Solanum lycopersicum: one gene and its partners. The protein of the gene in region 1 binds, or shares a complex with, the protein of each later gene. Links are inferred from orthologs where the notes say so. Each region holds a gene or a part of one and is shown on either strand. Other genes may lie near its edges. The genes, in order: SWR1 complex subunit 2, actin-related protein 6 and actin-related protein 4.

Region 1 (4,137 bases):
TTTCATCAATTTTTTTTTATATTTTTTGCTTTATTTAAAAAAAATTGATTCAAATTTTTTTTAAAAAAAATAAATCATTGGCAGCGTTTTTTAATTAGTTTTTTTTTAAAAAAATCAAATCGCTGTAAAAGCAGCGATTTACACTTAATTTATATTCTTTTTAAAAAAATTTAATTAAATCGCTGCAAAAAAAATTAGCCGATTAAATTAAGTTTTCAAAAGAAAATAATAAAAATTTAAGTGTAAAACAAAAAATGTGTTAATTAAGAATTCATAACATAAACACATATAAAGATCAGCCCAAAAAATGTGTTAATTAAGATTATTTTTTTTGAAAACTTAATTTAATCGGTTAATTTTTTTTGCAGCGATTTAATTAAATTTTTTTAAAAAAATAATTAAGTGTAAATCCTTTACATCGATTTGATTTTTTTTAAAAAAACTAATTAAAAATCGGTGCAAATGATTTTTTTTTTAAAAAAAAATTAAATCTAACTTTTTTTTTTAAATAAAGTAAAAAAAAATAATTAAAAAAATAAATTGATGGAAGTCACTGCAGAAGCAGCGACTTATACATTTTTTTTTTTTGAAAATCGCTCCGTGTGGAGCGATTTGTTTGATTTTAATTTTTTTTTTAAAAAAAAAGCAAATTTAAGAAATCGCTGCAATTGCAGCGATTTCGCTTTTTCAGAAGGCAAAAGTCACTACATCATGAACAATTTTACCGTTTTGATTTTAAAAAAAATTAATATGCCCTTTTAGAATTTTTGACAATTTTCTTTATCCTTTTAACTCCGCCCTCTAGTAATATTCATAAATATGTTCACTTCCCAAACATAATATTTTTATATTTTAGGTTTATTTAGTATTAAGTACTAACTATAATCTTTCAATATTTTTTGATCCAATAATAGTATATTTTTTTTTCATTTTATTAATTTAACGTGAAATGTGTTATGTAGTAAATACATATTTAATAACAAGGATAAAATAAATACAAAAGATAACTTATTTCTTAATTTTTAAAATTGTGCAAAATATTATTGAATACTATGTTTAATATAACGAAGACACAACTATTATTGGACAAAAAATATATATATTTATTTTACTTATAGAAGGTTTAAATTCAAGCGAACGGAGAAGTATTTTTTTTTAATATATCTAAATTTTGAATCGATAAATTTATTTCATACATTACTGAAAAATAAGTAGGTATCTTATATATTTTTAAATTTAAAGGTAAATTATTAATTTCGTTTTTAAAATATTGACCGCGTTAGAAATATTCTTTTAGGTGACTTATTAAATATAGATATACCTTCCGTCTCACTCATGTTACATGATGTGGAGTGTATTTAGGTTTAGTTAGTCAAATAAAAAAGTATTTATAATATCGTCAATAATTTGAAGATATAAATTAATAATTCACACTAAATTTAAGAGCGTTTTCAATATTTTTTTCTCGCGGATACATGTAAGAAACAAAAATCACAATTGAGTTCTCTTACTTTTATTAATTTTATTAACATAGTTTAGTACTTGTGATTGTTTAACGAACACCAACTGTTCGACAAATTGTCTCTGTAAAAGATTGTAACTTTTTTATAACCAAAATCAAGATTCTGAAATCTGATCAGCAGATATGGAGACCAGTAAAGAGGGAAATGCAGTTTTTCTCGATCGTACTTCTCGTGCTACTAGAGGCAAACGGTAAATCAAGATACCCAATTTCAATCAGTTCATAATTTTTCTGGTTTGGGGTTTGTTTGTTGTGTGTATAATTTTGTGGGTTGAGTTTAATTTAAGTTTATTTGTTGTAAAAATGGGATTTTTATATGACAGGATGACTAAATTGTTGGATGATGAGGTAGAAGAGGATGAACTTTTCTGGAATCAGGAAGCTCTTAAAGATGTATGTTGTTTTTTACAATAACAATGTCACGACATTTTTGTGTTATATTGTAATTGTAGTTAGTAGGTAGCAACTTAAGCTTAATGTTTGTATAGAATTGGAGCCTGACGAGAGTAGAGTGTATGCAGTAGAGTGGTTGTTTCTGATAGACGCTCGGCTCAAGGAGAAGCAACTTTATAAAAGAAAAGATTATTTTTTGAAACTTTGTGGAAAAAAAGATCAATTTTTTTTTCTATATTGGATGGTTTCTTCGTGAGGGGGTTGGGGGCAGAGGTGGAGCTGGGGTTTGAAACTTATGGGTTTGGGATTCTTGTCTTTTTAAGCTTTGGGTTCTAAAATTAATAATGTGTTCTTATTCAATGAGTTTTTAATACAAATACAGGGTTTGGACCAAAGTTGGTGGGTGTTGTCAGGAGAAGAATATGCATTTGACCATGTTAAGTTTATATCAGTTGGTGAATGGTAAGGGGAAATGATAGGAAACAACTATGTCTAATTTAGCTTTAAGAAGTTCAAATAAAGTTGGGAAGAATTGGCCCAAACCATATATTCAGGAGCCTTTCAAGTTTCAGAAAATTTCATCAATTACTGCACCCTTCATCTGTCTCTTTGTGCCTAGGTATCCACTGTAAGTTTCAGAATAGAATGGAGAATATTCATAAAGTGATCACTAGGAGTTGGATAGGCATGTTCAGTGGAAACAAGAAGGGATTTGTTAGCTTGTTATTTCATAGGAAACAGTTAAATGGATTCTGAGTTGGAAAGTTTGTGAACTAAGAAACAAAAAGCTTTAGTATCCGATGCGTGTTTAATGTGGATTATTGAGGCAGATTGAAGTGCAACTGCTACTGGCTTTTAGAGATTCACGTTTCTTTGCTTTCTCTGGCAAGTCCAAAAGTAGCATAGAGCACAAAGAAAATGATATTTATTTTTTGATAAAGGAACACCAAGAAAATGATGAAAGCTGAAGTTTCTCAAATATGGACGTAATTGTGCTTTTACGGAGAATATAACAAAGGAAAGTTTCTACTATGTGTTCTTAGGTTCAAATCCTAGCTGAGACAAAAAACGTTAGGTGATTTCTTACTATCTATCTGTCCTAGCTTTGGTGGACAGAGTTACATGATACTTGCTGGTGGTGGACAGACTTGTCAAGGTGTATGTAAGCTAGCCCACACACCATGGTTATCAAAAAAGATATTTTTCTCTGGAATAACTGCTGGTTCTTTACTTTACTGGTCTAAAATAATGATGATAATTATAATAATGCAGCCTCCATTATCCCAGCAGCTCTAGTTTGAGTGAAAATGACTGCAGCCTCCGTTATTCGAGCAGTAGTAGTCTTTTACTCAAATCATAGGCCTTGACATTTCGAATCCATGGTTGTAATTGGGCCTGAAAGTTTTGATATTTTAATTGCTTTGGAAATCCAGATCCACAAACCTTCCATAAAATATTTGGTTTGTGCTTGTTTGGCAAATTTGCTTATTGAATTTAATGAGCTTTTGGTTGGATGTAAATCAGGAAGAGAATGACATTGAATATGAAGAGGAAGGGGAAGCTGTGGATGTTTTCGACAGTGACTTTGATGAAGATGTAAGTTCTAAGTGTTCCATTTCTCATCACTGAACCTTTCATTTCACAAATTTTTGTGATGGATTGGTTACTTGTACTGGCAGTTCTAGCTTGGAAGGGTACGTTTATCGATAATTCTGTTCTCGAATGACCTATGTTAAAAATGACTTTCCTAATATTGTTTCAGGAACCCGAGCCTGATGAAGAAGGAGAAAATGAACCCGATGACAGGTTTGACACACTCACGTTGATGGGAAGTGTCCGTTTAGCTCCATATGGATAGTCCTTAGATTTATATTCTTCTCTTTTCTATGGCAGGACACAGACCAAAAAGCGATTGACCTATCCAGGAAGACCGCCTGCAAAGAAGAAAAAGAAAATGAAAGCCCTTACCAAGACAGAAAAGGCACACCAAGAAAATGAAGAAGCTCCAGATCCGTCCACCCCTTCTGAACATCATGGTGCTCATGATGATACTGAAGCAGAAAGAACAATTAGGAAATCAACAAGAACGGCTGTCGTTGTAAAACAAGCTGAAAGGGAAGCCATTCGTGCAGCCTTGCAGGCAACAACAAAGGTAGGGTGCTTGCACTATAATGCTATTTGTGATAGTACAAATAACAAATTATAATTTCTTACATGGCAGG
Region 2 (4,377 bases), on another chromosome or scaffold:
GCAAATCTTTTGTGATAGCCAAGAAACATTGACTTATATTAAAGACCTTAAGTATCATAGTAAGACTAAGTACATAGACACAAAGTATAATTTTATTAAAGACATTATAGCTCGTAAGGAAATCACTTTATAGTGTATTTCTACACACAAGATGGTAGTAGATCCCTTGACAAAGCCAATATCTGTCTTTGTTAAACATGGAAAATCTATAAGCTCGCGTGAGTTATAAAATGATATATTTTCTTATTTGAATATCTTGATCGTGATGTATGGATAGTTTTTTTTTATGTTTTTTGTGCTTATTTCATACATTATTATTAATCAGCACATTCACAATATTAGAATATGTCGAACAACTTGATAATATTGAGTTTCTCACATGAGCAATCAGCTCGGGGTCTTATGGAAAGTGAGTCAAGATGAGACATTTGTGTTTCTTAACGCTAAAAAGGATAGTTAATAAATGTGACACCTTTGATTAAGAATATATTATTTAAAGTTGCCTTAATAAAAGATTAGGAGGAGATCTAAGATAAATGTCAAAAATGGTCGAAATTATGAATTTCCCATAATACTTGTAGCCATATGTGAGATCTCCTCAAAAAGTCTAATAAAATGGTAGAATTCAAGTCAAAAAAATGATTTACTTGGACCAAAATTTGTAGGGTGTAAAAAAATAAAAATTGACATACATTTCATATTGCATGTGCTTCATTACCGCAAATTGAAATGGTATGAGACCTTGAAAAGATTTTTTTTATGACTTTGACAATATCATAAAGTGATGGGTTAGTGTATACTAGTTTGTATGAATCTAAAAGTTATGAAAATGTCACCTGAAGGAGTAATGTTATAATTAATCCTCATCATAGTGATATGTGGGCGAAAAAAGATCATGTTAGATATAAACACATTATGCTTGTGTTTGAGTGTTGTCCATTATAAAACCTACTTTAGTTGACATCATAAGGGTTGACACAAGGTATATGAGAATTGAAAATGAATAGAGAATTAAAAAACCATATGTGTATATAAACATGATTGGCGTATCTAAGGCACTTTATATGACATCATAATATATCATAAATGATCATAAAAAGGGTAGTAGTCTCTTATGCTGATCTAAAAAGAGATTTCTAGTGTAAGAGCTTTCAAACTTATTGTCAAAGCGGTCACGACAATACACTTGCTATGAATGTGTGAATGAATTTACTTTTCAAAGCCCAACGTGCTTCATCCCTTCATGTGTGAGTGTGAGATGTTGGAAATAGATACATCTATTAATAGGTTGATTAATAACTTGCTTCACTCATGAAGTAAGTTATAACTATACTAAAAATAACTTTGTATGATAAAAGAGGAAGAATTATGTATTCTTTAATGGAGTGAGAGTTATGAGATAAGGGCTATTGTAAATAAGAGTTGCAAATCTTAATCTTATCCTAAAAAAGGAAGGATTTGAGATCGCCAAAGACGATACAAAAACAATACAAGACTCTATAATAATCTCGTAAGAACATAGTGATAATACTAATCCTAGAATAAGAAAGATATATATAATTCCACATAAATTTTTTAGTATATCAAACCCTTTCTCATATAATAAATCATGATACTCGTAACAAATGTTTGCCACCCCCATTAGCCGCTTTTTTCTTTCAACATAAATTCTCACTTCAATTCGTCCCAAAAAATCAATTATCATGCCGATGGATTTAATTCATTGCGCCATAAATTAGGAAGCTGGGTGTTCAGTTAGTGTGGCAATCGGAAATGTCGAATGTTGTAGTTTTGGACAACGGCGCCGGCGTAATCAAGGCTGGTATCGGCGGCGAAAGAGATCCAACAGCTATTGTCCCCAACAGCATGGGCCGTCCACTTTCTTCCAAGAAATGGCTTATGGCTGACCAGCTTCTTTCCCCAGACGTCGACCTCACTTCAGCCACCGCCCGCCGCCCTTTCGACCGCGGTTATCTTATCAACCCTGATCTCCAATCTTCCATTTGGTCTCACATCTTCTCGAACCTTCTCAAAATTACTCCTTCACACTCTTCTCTACTTCTTACTGAACCCCTTTTCAATATCCCTTCCATACAACGTTCAATCGACGAAATTGTATTCGAAGATTTTAATTTTAAGGCTCTTTATGTATCAGATTCCCCCTCTTTAGTTCATCTTTATGAAGCATCTCGTCGCCCTTATGGCCTTGTTTCTAAAGCCCAGTGTAGCTTAGTTGTCGACTGTGGATTTTCCTTTACTCATGCTTCCCCGGTAGTTCAGAATTTTACATTGAATTATGCTGTTAAAAGACTTGATCTTGGGGGTAAAGCTTTGAGTAATTACTTAAAGGAGTTGGTCAGTTATAGAAGTGTTAATTTGATGGATGAAAGTTTCCTTATGGATCATGTTAAGGAGGAACTTTGCTTTGTCTCTTTGGATCTTCCCAGGGACTTGCACATTGCTAGGTAATGCTCATTAATTTCGATACTTGTTGTGTCATTGTTATCCTCCTGTGGATATCAAAGTTCTTGCCATTCCGAATTAAGTGCTGCACCTTATGGGGTCTGTTTGCTCTTATTTTAGTGTAATAACTAGTTTAAAAGGATGGGGGCATGAACGCAGGATGGGTCGTGTAGTGTACTCGACTACCATTAAGTAGTTCAAAGGGATCTCTAGTCAATTACATGTTTTGGCCCCTCTGGAACAAATGTAGAATTAGGATCCTTCAATGCCGTGATGTTTGAACCGCTTTCTAAACTTAAAACTTAGATTAAGCGAGCAGAAAATCCACATTAAAGTAAGATGATCTTTGAGTGTCAAACATGCTGGGATCTTCCTTATTCATAACTACTATGTCAATCTCCCAGGAAACCGGGGAAGGACAATTTGTTTAGGTGTACGTATGTTCTTCCTGACGGTATTACACATACTAAGGGCTTTTTGAAAGACCCTGAAGAACCAAAGAGATATCTTCCTTTGTATGATGAAGCTCCGCAGCAGGTAGCAGGGGAACAAATTGATATGGATCAGCTCGAGAACACTGACAATTCCGAAGACAGGAACAGAAACAATGGATCAAAAATTGATTTGACAAAAAATGTACTTTTTCCAAGCCCTTATAAATAGCTCGTCATCCTCTTTCCATTTATTCTAATTTATTTGTATGAACAGGAATTTGGCTTAACAAATGAGCGGTTCCTTGTCCCAGAGATGATGTTTCGTCCAGCTGACTTGGGTCCGTATCACAGTGTATCTTTGACTTGTATTTCAGTTTTGTGTTCAGTTGAAGAATCTGCTTCAATAATTCAGCATTTTTTTCCCTTTCATGTGAATTAGAGTGTCTGGAAGTGTAGCTCTATGAATTTGTTTATTCACAAGTATGAATTTGGTTGTCAGCATCTCAGTTATTTGTGGCTTACAGGACTGAATCAGGCTGGACTTGCAGAGTGCATTCATCGAGCTATCAGTTCCTGCCATTCTCATCTTCACCCTGTTCTATATGAGAGGTAGTGCAGAATCATCGGTGCATCTCAAAAGCTTATCTACTAATATTGGTTTATGTTTATCTTCCTTCTTCTAATGTCAATGTATTGAATTTGGACGAGGAAGCATTATTCTGACGGGAGGCAGTACTCTATTTCCTCATTTTGCCAAAAGACTGTAAGAATGCAGCCTTTATTGCCCATTGCTTTAAAAAGGCTGGATGTTCTATTTGCTTATGTCTTGAAATTTCATCTAAATGCAGAGAAATGGACCTTCGGCCTCTTGTCCCAGATAAATATTGTTTAAAGATCACAACTCAAGAAGAGTAATATACTGTCCTTCTGGAGAAACTGTTCAAAGAGTTTCTACTACTCTAACATGTCTTTTGTTACTGTTTGCAGTCCTATTTTAGGTGTTTGGCGTGGGGGATCACTCTTGGCATCAAGTCCTGACTTTGATGCAATGTGTATCACAAAAGCTGAATATGAGGAGCTGGGATCAGCAAGATGTCGAAAGAGATTCTTCCACTAACTTTTCTAGTGTTATGGAGAGGAGAAATTCAGATTTTAGGATGATAGTTGGCCTCTGCAGTTGCCAATGAGCTAAATACCGAGGAAATTGAAAACAGATTTGCTCTGAAATGATTCTTATTCTAGTCTGTTTCTTATAAATATTGCAGAACTCTCCTTGGTTGAAATCTAACTTATCTGCAATGAAATGTTGTTGGCATCTTCAATGTGAATACTGGTGTCGCTCGTCCTTGATTGTAGTATGGGTGTTATGTTGCAACTTGTTAAGGACAAGATGAAATTACACATATCATTGGCTGTACGACTACGACATGCGGATCAAGACTGATGGAACAACTTTGGTGAATATTTGTCTGATCTTATT
Region 3 (3,651 bases), on another chromosome or scaffold:
TTTTTGGTTTTGGTGTAAACAGAACTACATAGAAGACACTGCTTCAATCATTAATATCCTAGATTTCTGTTCTTTTTTCCCCATTGAAAATATGGTTTCAGCACAACCTATTGAGTTTTTTTGCTTAAATATACAAAACTGGTACTTGCTCAAGAAACAGAAGACATCGCATACTAGAATTATTAAAAAGATGATTGAAATGGAAGGGTATTACAGGTATACTAAGCAATAGTGGAGATTGAAAGAGAATAACAATACAGAATAGTATCCACCTAATATAAACTAGAGCAACAATACAGAATAGTATCCACCTAATCTAAACTAGAGCATTATAGCATTTCTATAATTCACATTATCACATATTCTTAATACTGATTGCAAAGATAGACATCATATCTCCATATTCTCAAACATAATTCTTAACGAATAAGATGCTAGCCTACTTGAGATTCTCTCATTTTCACCATTCGCTCATCGATCATCATACAGTTATGAATAAAATTTAGACTGCTACAGATGTAAATGTATGGAAATTTAACTATTCAAGGTGAAAAGATACTAAAATTAAGATGCCATCATGCACCAGAAGTCATGAAGTCTACAATTTTTTCATATCCCACTTCAAGGAGAAGGTACAAAGAGATAATGCAAATATTATAAATGATCTTACGGCTAAGAGACTAGATATCTCAGTAAAAGAACTCTATTATTGACAAGAATAGTCAAATAAGTAATTCAAAAGGGTAGCCAGTAAGTAGAACATAACATCCTACCTGTCAACAACCAAAGAAGTTGCACGTCCTGATGCGAAAGATGTGAGAACCTAGCATTAACAGTACCATGAGAAAATTAACAACTAGAGTGGAATGATCTTGTAATGTTATGAAGCTACAGCTTTCTTTATTATTTTTTCTTTGTTCTTGAATCAAAAGTGGAAGTTCCACTACTAAATAGCACAAAGAAGGTTATGTTTAAGACGCTACAAATTAAAGATTAGAAGTGGGTTAAGGCACTTACAGCATTTTTGGCCAAAAACAATGCTGGAACTTGGTATTTTTCAAACATTATCTCTGCAGCCCTGTTAAATAGATGATCATCAGTCCACTGTAATTTCCATTTTGCATACAGATGACATAATAATGCAAACACCAGGCTGCCTTTCCTCTTTTTTGGGTTCATGATGGACAATTTCTTTCACAGTAGACAGTTCTTGTTAAGGAAAGTAATTCCTTGGACTCGACTGATTCTAGAAGGTATTACAAATTAAACAAGATAAGGCTTTTATATTGACACTTTGGATCCATTCTTGGCAAACAAACAGTTGATCAGTACACCAGTCAGTAGTTGACAGTCCTAACTTAGCAGACCACCACGAATAGGAATTCCAGGCAAGGCCCTAATAAGTGATCTTATGTTTGAGAGAAATCCACCACCTGTGAGGACCACAATGACCTTATAAAAAAAGTCAAGGTGGACAGACATAAATTTGATGGGAACTTGACCTAGATTTGTTCTTTAATAGGGAAGATAGCTTAGAGAAGTATTTTGATAGGTCCAAATTACTCAAGCATGGCACAAGAATCGCTCTAGTCAAAAGAGATTTACAGATGAACTGCTTCTAAAATCTCACTTTTGTGGATTCTTCTCTCACTCTATTTCTGTTTTATTCTACTCTCACTGCTCTTCTCTCCTCTCTTTTCTCATATTCCCCCCTTCTCTTTCACCCTACTCCATATTGCTACATCACTGTATCGGTGCTCTAGGTCCTTATTCATCACAAATAGCTGCACTTTTAGCATTCATCAATTATAAAAGTACCCATCACCTTATACTTCGTTTAATTGGATATATATTGTATTCACATCAAACTAACAAACTTCTGATGTTAATGACTTCTTCTTTTTATGGCTTCCCACCCTGTCTCCACCTCTCCGATACCCACATTGGAGCCCGACTAAATCCGGATTCACTCCGGGAAGTCCCACATTGGGTTTGGGTTTGGGGGTGGGGGTGGGGGTGGGGGTGGGGGGGAGCGCTCCCTAACAAAGGAGACCCAAACCCGAGACCTCTTGGTTAAGGATGAAGGAGTACTTACATCTTCACCACCAACCTTGTTGGTTTGTTAATGACTTTTAAATAAAAGGAAGCTGTTAGAATTCTCATACCTTTCCCCTTTGAAATAGAAAAGACATGTGGGCCTACAGGATTGATAAATATGTTAACTTAACTTGAGGATGTGCTTTCATCTTATATTTTTCTCGTCCTCCTAATAAAAGTGTGTTCTCCAATAAATTAACATAAAACGCAAAAATAGGCAGAAAAAGGCAACACATTCAGGAATAATAAAGCTTGAAATCATGTACATTATTATTACACAATGCCCAAAAGATAAATGACATGATTTAATGTGAAGTAATAAGACTGCTAAAATACAGATCGCATTGCTCACTTTTCCCTCTGCTGCTGAGTGTTTGAACAAGGCTCTGCAAGTAACATTGGATGCTCCTTTGGATCGATCAGTAAGCATTCCCTGTAAAGGAATGTAAGTAGCAGAAGAAAAAGGTTCTTTTTTCTCCCAATCTTCAATAGGCAAGCATCAACTTAACCAAATGACGGGACAAAAGAACAAAAAAGTAACACAAGAAAAGCATATAAGGAAGACTTTTTTCTCTTAATCTTCAAATGAATCAGTAATACCACATTTCTTCACATAAAGCAGGAATTCAAGTGATCAAAGAAGTCAAAAAGAGAAATGGAGGATTGTCCCATCATGCATTTGGTGAATAAAAGGAATCAGAGATGTTTTGAACACAAACGAAGCACTATCCAGAAGTTGAAGATCAACCGTTTAGACTTTCACAATTTAGTGTAAAAAAGAATACATAGAGGAATCGCAGTCAATTTTTAATGTTCTAGATTACATGTAGGGAGGCTTAGATCTAGGAACTCTTAACTATAATTCACACTGTTTTGGGTGACTTCACAGCTTGTGTGGTCTACCTTTATATAACAACTTGTTACAATTCTCCGGGAAAAAAATTGTAGTCTGATCTTCAAAAATAGATTGCAAGCAGTATCTACATAATTGTCTTTCCTTTTTAGGATGAATCACTAATGTGACATTATTTACATTAATATAAGAGCAATCACGCAAAGACTGCATGGCAATCTAGATGCAAAGGGTACATATGCAAGTGTCTGACACAGGTAAAAGAGGTTCTAGAGTGTAGGTTTCAACAAGACTCAAGCTTATTCCCAACAAGTAGATATCACCTATATGGATCTATATTAAAGCATAATATATAAAACAATCAATAATTCTAACATAGAAAAATAACTCACTCTTAAGATAAATTTTCGCTAAAAGCCATTTTTGGTTAATTAATAAGTTATGTTAAATATTTTGTTGTGTCAAATGATCCAAATTTAACACAATTTATTTATTTTATAACTGAGAAATACCCAAGGACCAGCAGAAACACAGTTCAAAACTCAATGAATAATAGCCTGCCCCTCTACCCATCTCCAAGTTAGTCAATTATTCTTGCTCAGTTTATTTATTTTTTTTTGAGAATTCTCAATTAATCTTGTTCTTATAGATCTTGTCACTAAATCTATAATGAACTATCTTTGTGGTCCAATTAAAACACA

Evidence for each region.
Region 2: SWR1 complex subunit 2 (region 1) and actin-related protein 6 share a complex: the UniProt entries of both Arabidopsis thaliana proteins name them as parts of the SWR1 chromatin-remodeling complex. The link is inferred for Solanum lycopersicum from reciprocal best matches to the Arabidopsis thaliana genes SWC2 and ARP6.
Region 3: SWR1 complex subunit 2 (region 1) and actin-related protein 4 share a complex: the UniProt entries of both Arabidopsis thaliana proteins name them as parts of the SWR1 chromatin-remodeling complex. The link is inferred for Solanum lycopersicum from reciprocal best matches to the Arabidopsis thaliana genes SWC2 and ARP4.

What each region holds. Positions count from the first base shown.
Region 1 is NC_090803.1:3,732,746-3,736,882, reverse strand, and holds the start of SWR1 complex subunit 2, read left to right. Parts: upstream 1-1,335; 5' UTR 1,336-1,645; coding exon 1,646-1,713; intron 1,714-1,845; coding exon 1,846-1,915; intron 1,916-3,439; coding exon 3,440-3,511; intron 3,512-3,677; coding exon 3,678-3,721; intron 3,722-3,808; coding exon 3,809-4,067; intron 4,068-4,137. UniProt on the Arabidopsis thaliana protein: Component of the SWR1 complex which mediates the ATP-dependent exchange of histone H2A for the H2A variant H2A.F/Z leading to transcriptional regulation of selected genes (e.g. FLC) by chromatin remodeling.
Region 2 is NC_090804.1:24,555,533-24,559,909, reverse strand, and holds the start of actin-related protein 6, read left to right. Parts: upstream 1-1,428; 5' UTR 1,429-1,773; coding exon 1,774-2,465; intron 2,466-2,867; coding exon 2,868-3,099; intron 3,100-3,171; coding exon 3,172-3,235; intron 3,236-3,421; coding exon 3,422-3,506; intron 3,507-3,609; coding exon 3,610-3,660; intron 3,661-3,745; coding exon 3,746-3,808; intron 3,809-3,884; coding exon 3,885-4,014; 3' UTR 4,015-4,377. UniProt on the Arabidopsis thaliana protein: Component of the SWR1 complex which mediates the ATP-dependent exchange of histone H2A for the H2A variant H2A.F/Z leading to transcriptional regulation of selected genes (e.g. FLC) by chromatin remodeling. Binds to the promoter region of FLC chromatin.
Region 3 is NC_090811.1:50,227,765-50,231,415, reverse strand, and holds part of actin-related protein 4, read right to left. Parts: intron 2,531-3,651; coding exon 2,450-2,530; intron 1,079-2,449; coding exon 1,018-1,078; intron 824-1,017; coding exon 774-823; intron 1-773. UniProt on the Arabidopsis thaliana protein: Involved in several developmental processes including organization of plant organs, flowering time, anther development, flower senescence and fertility, probably by regulating the chromatin structure.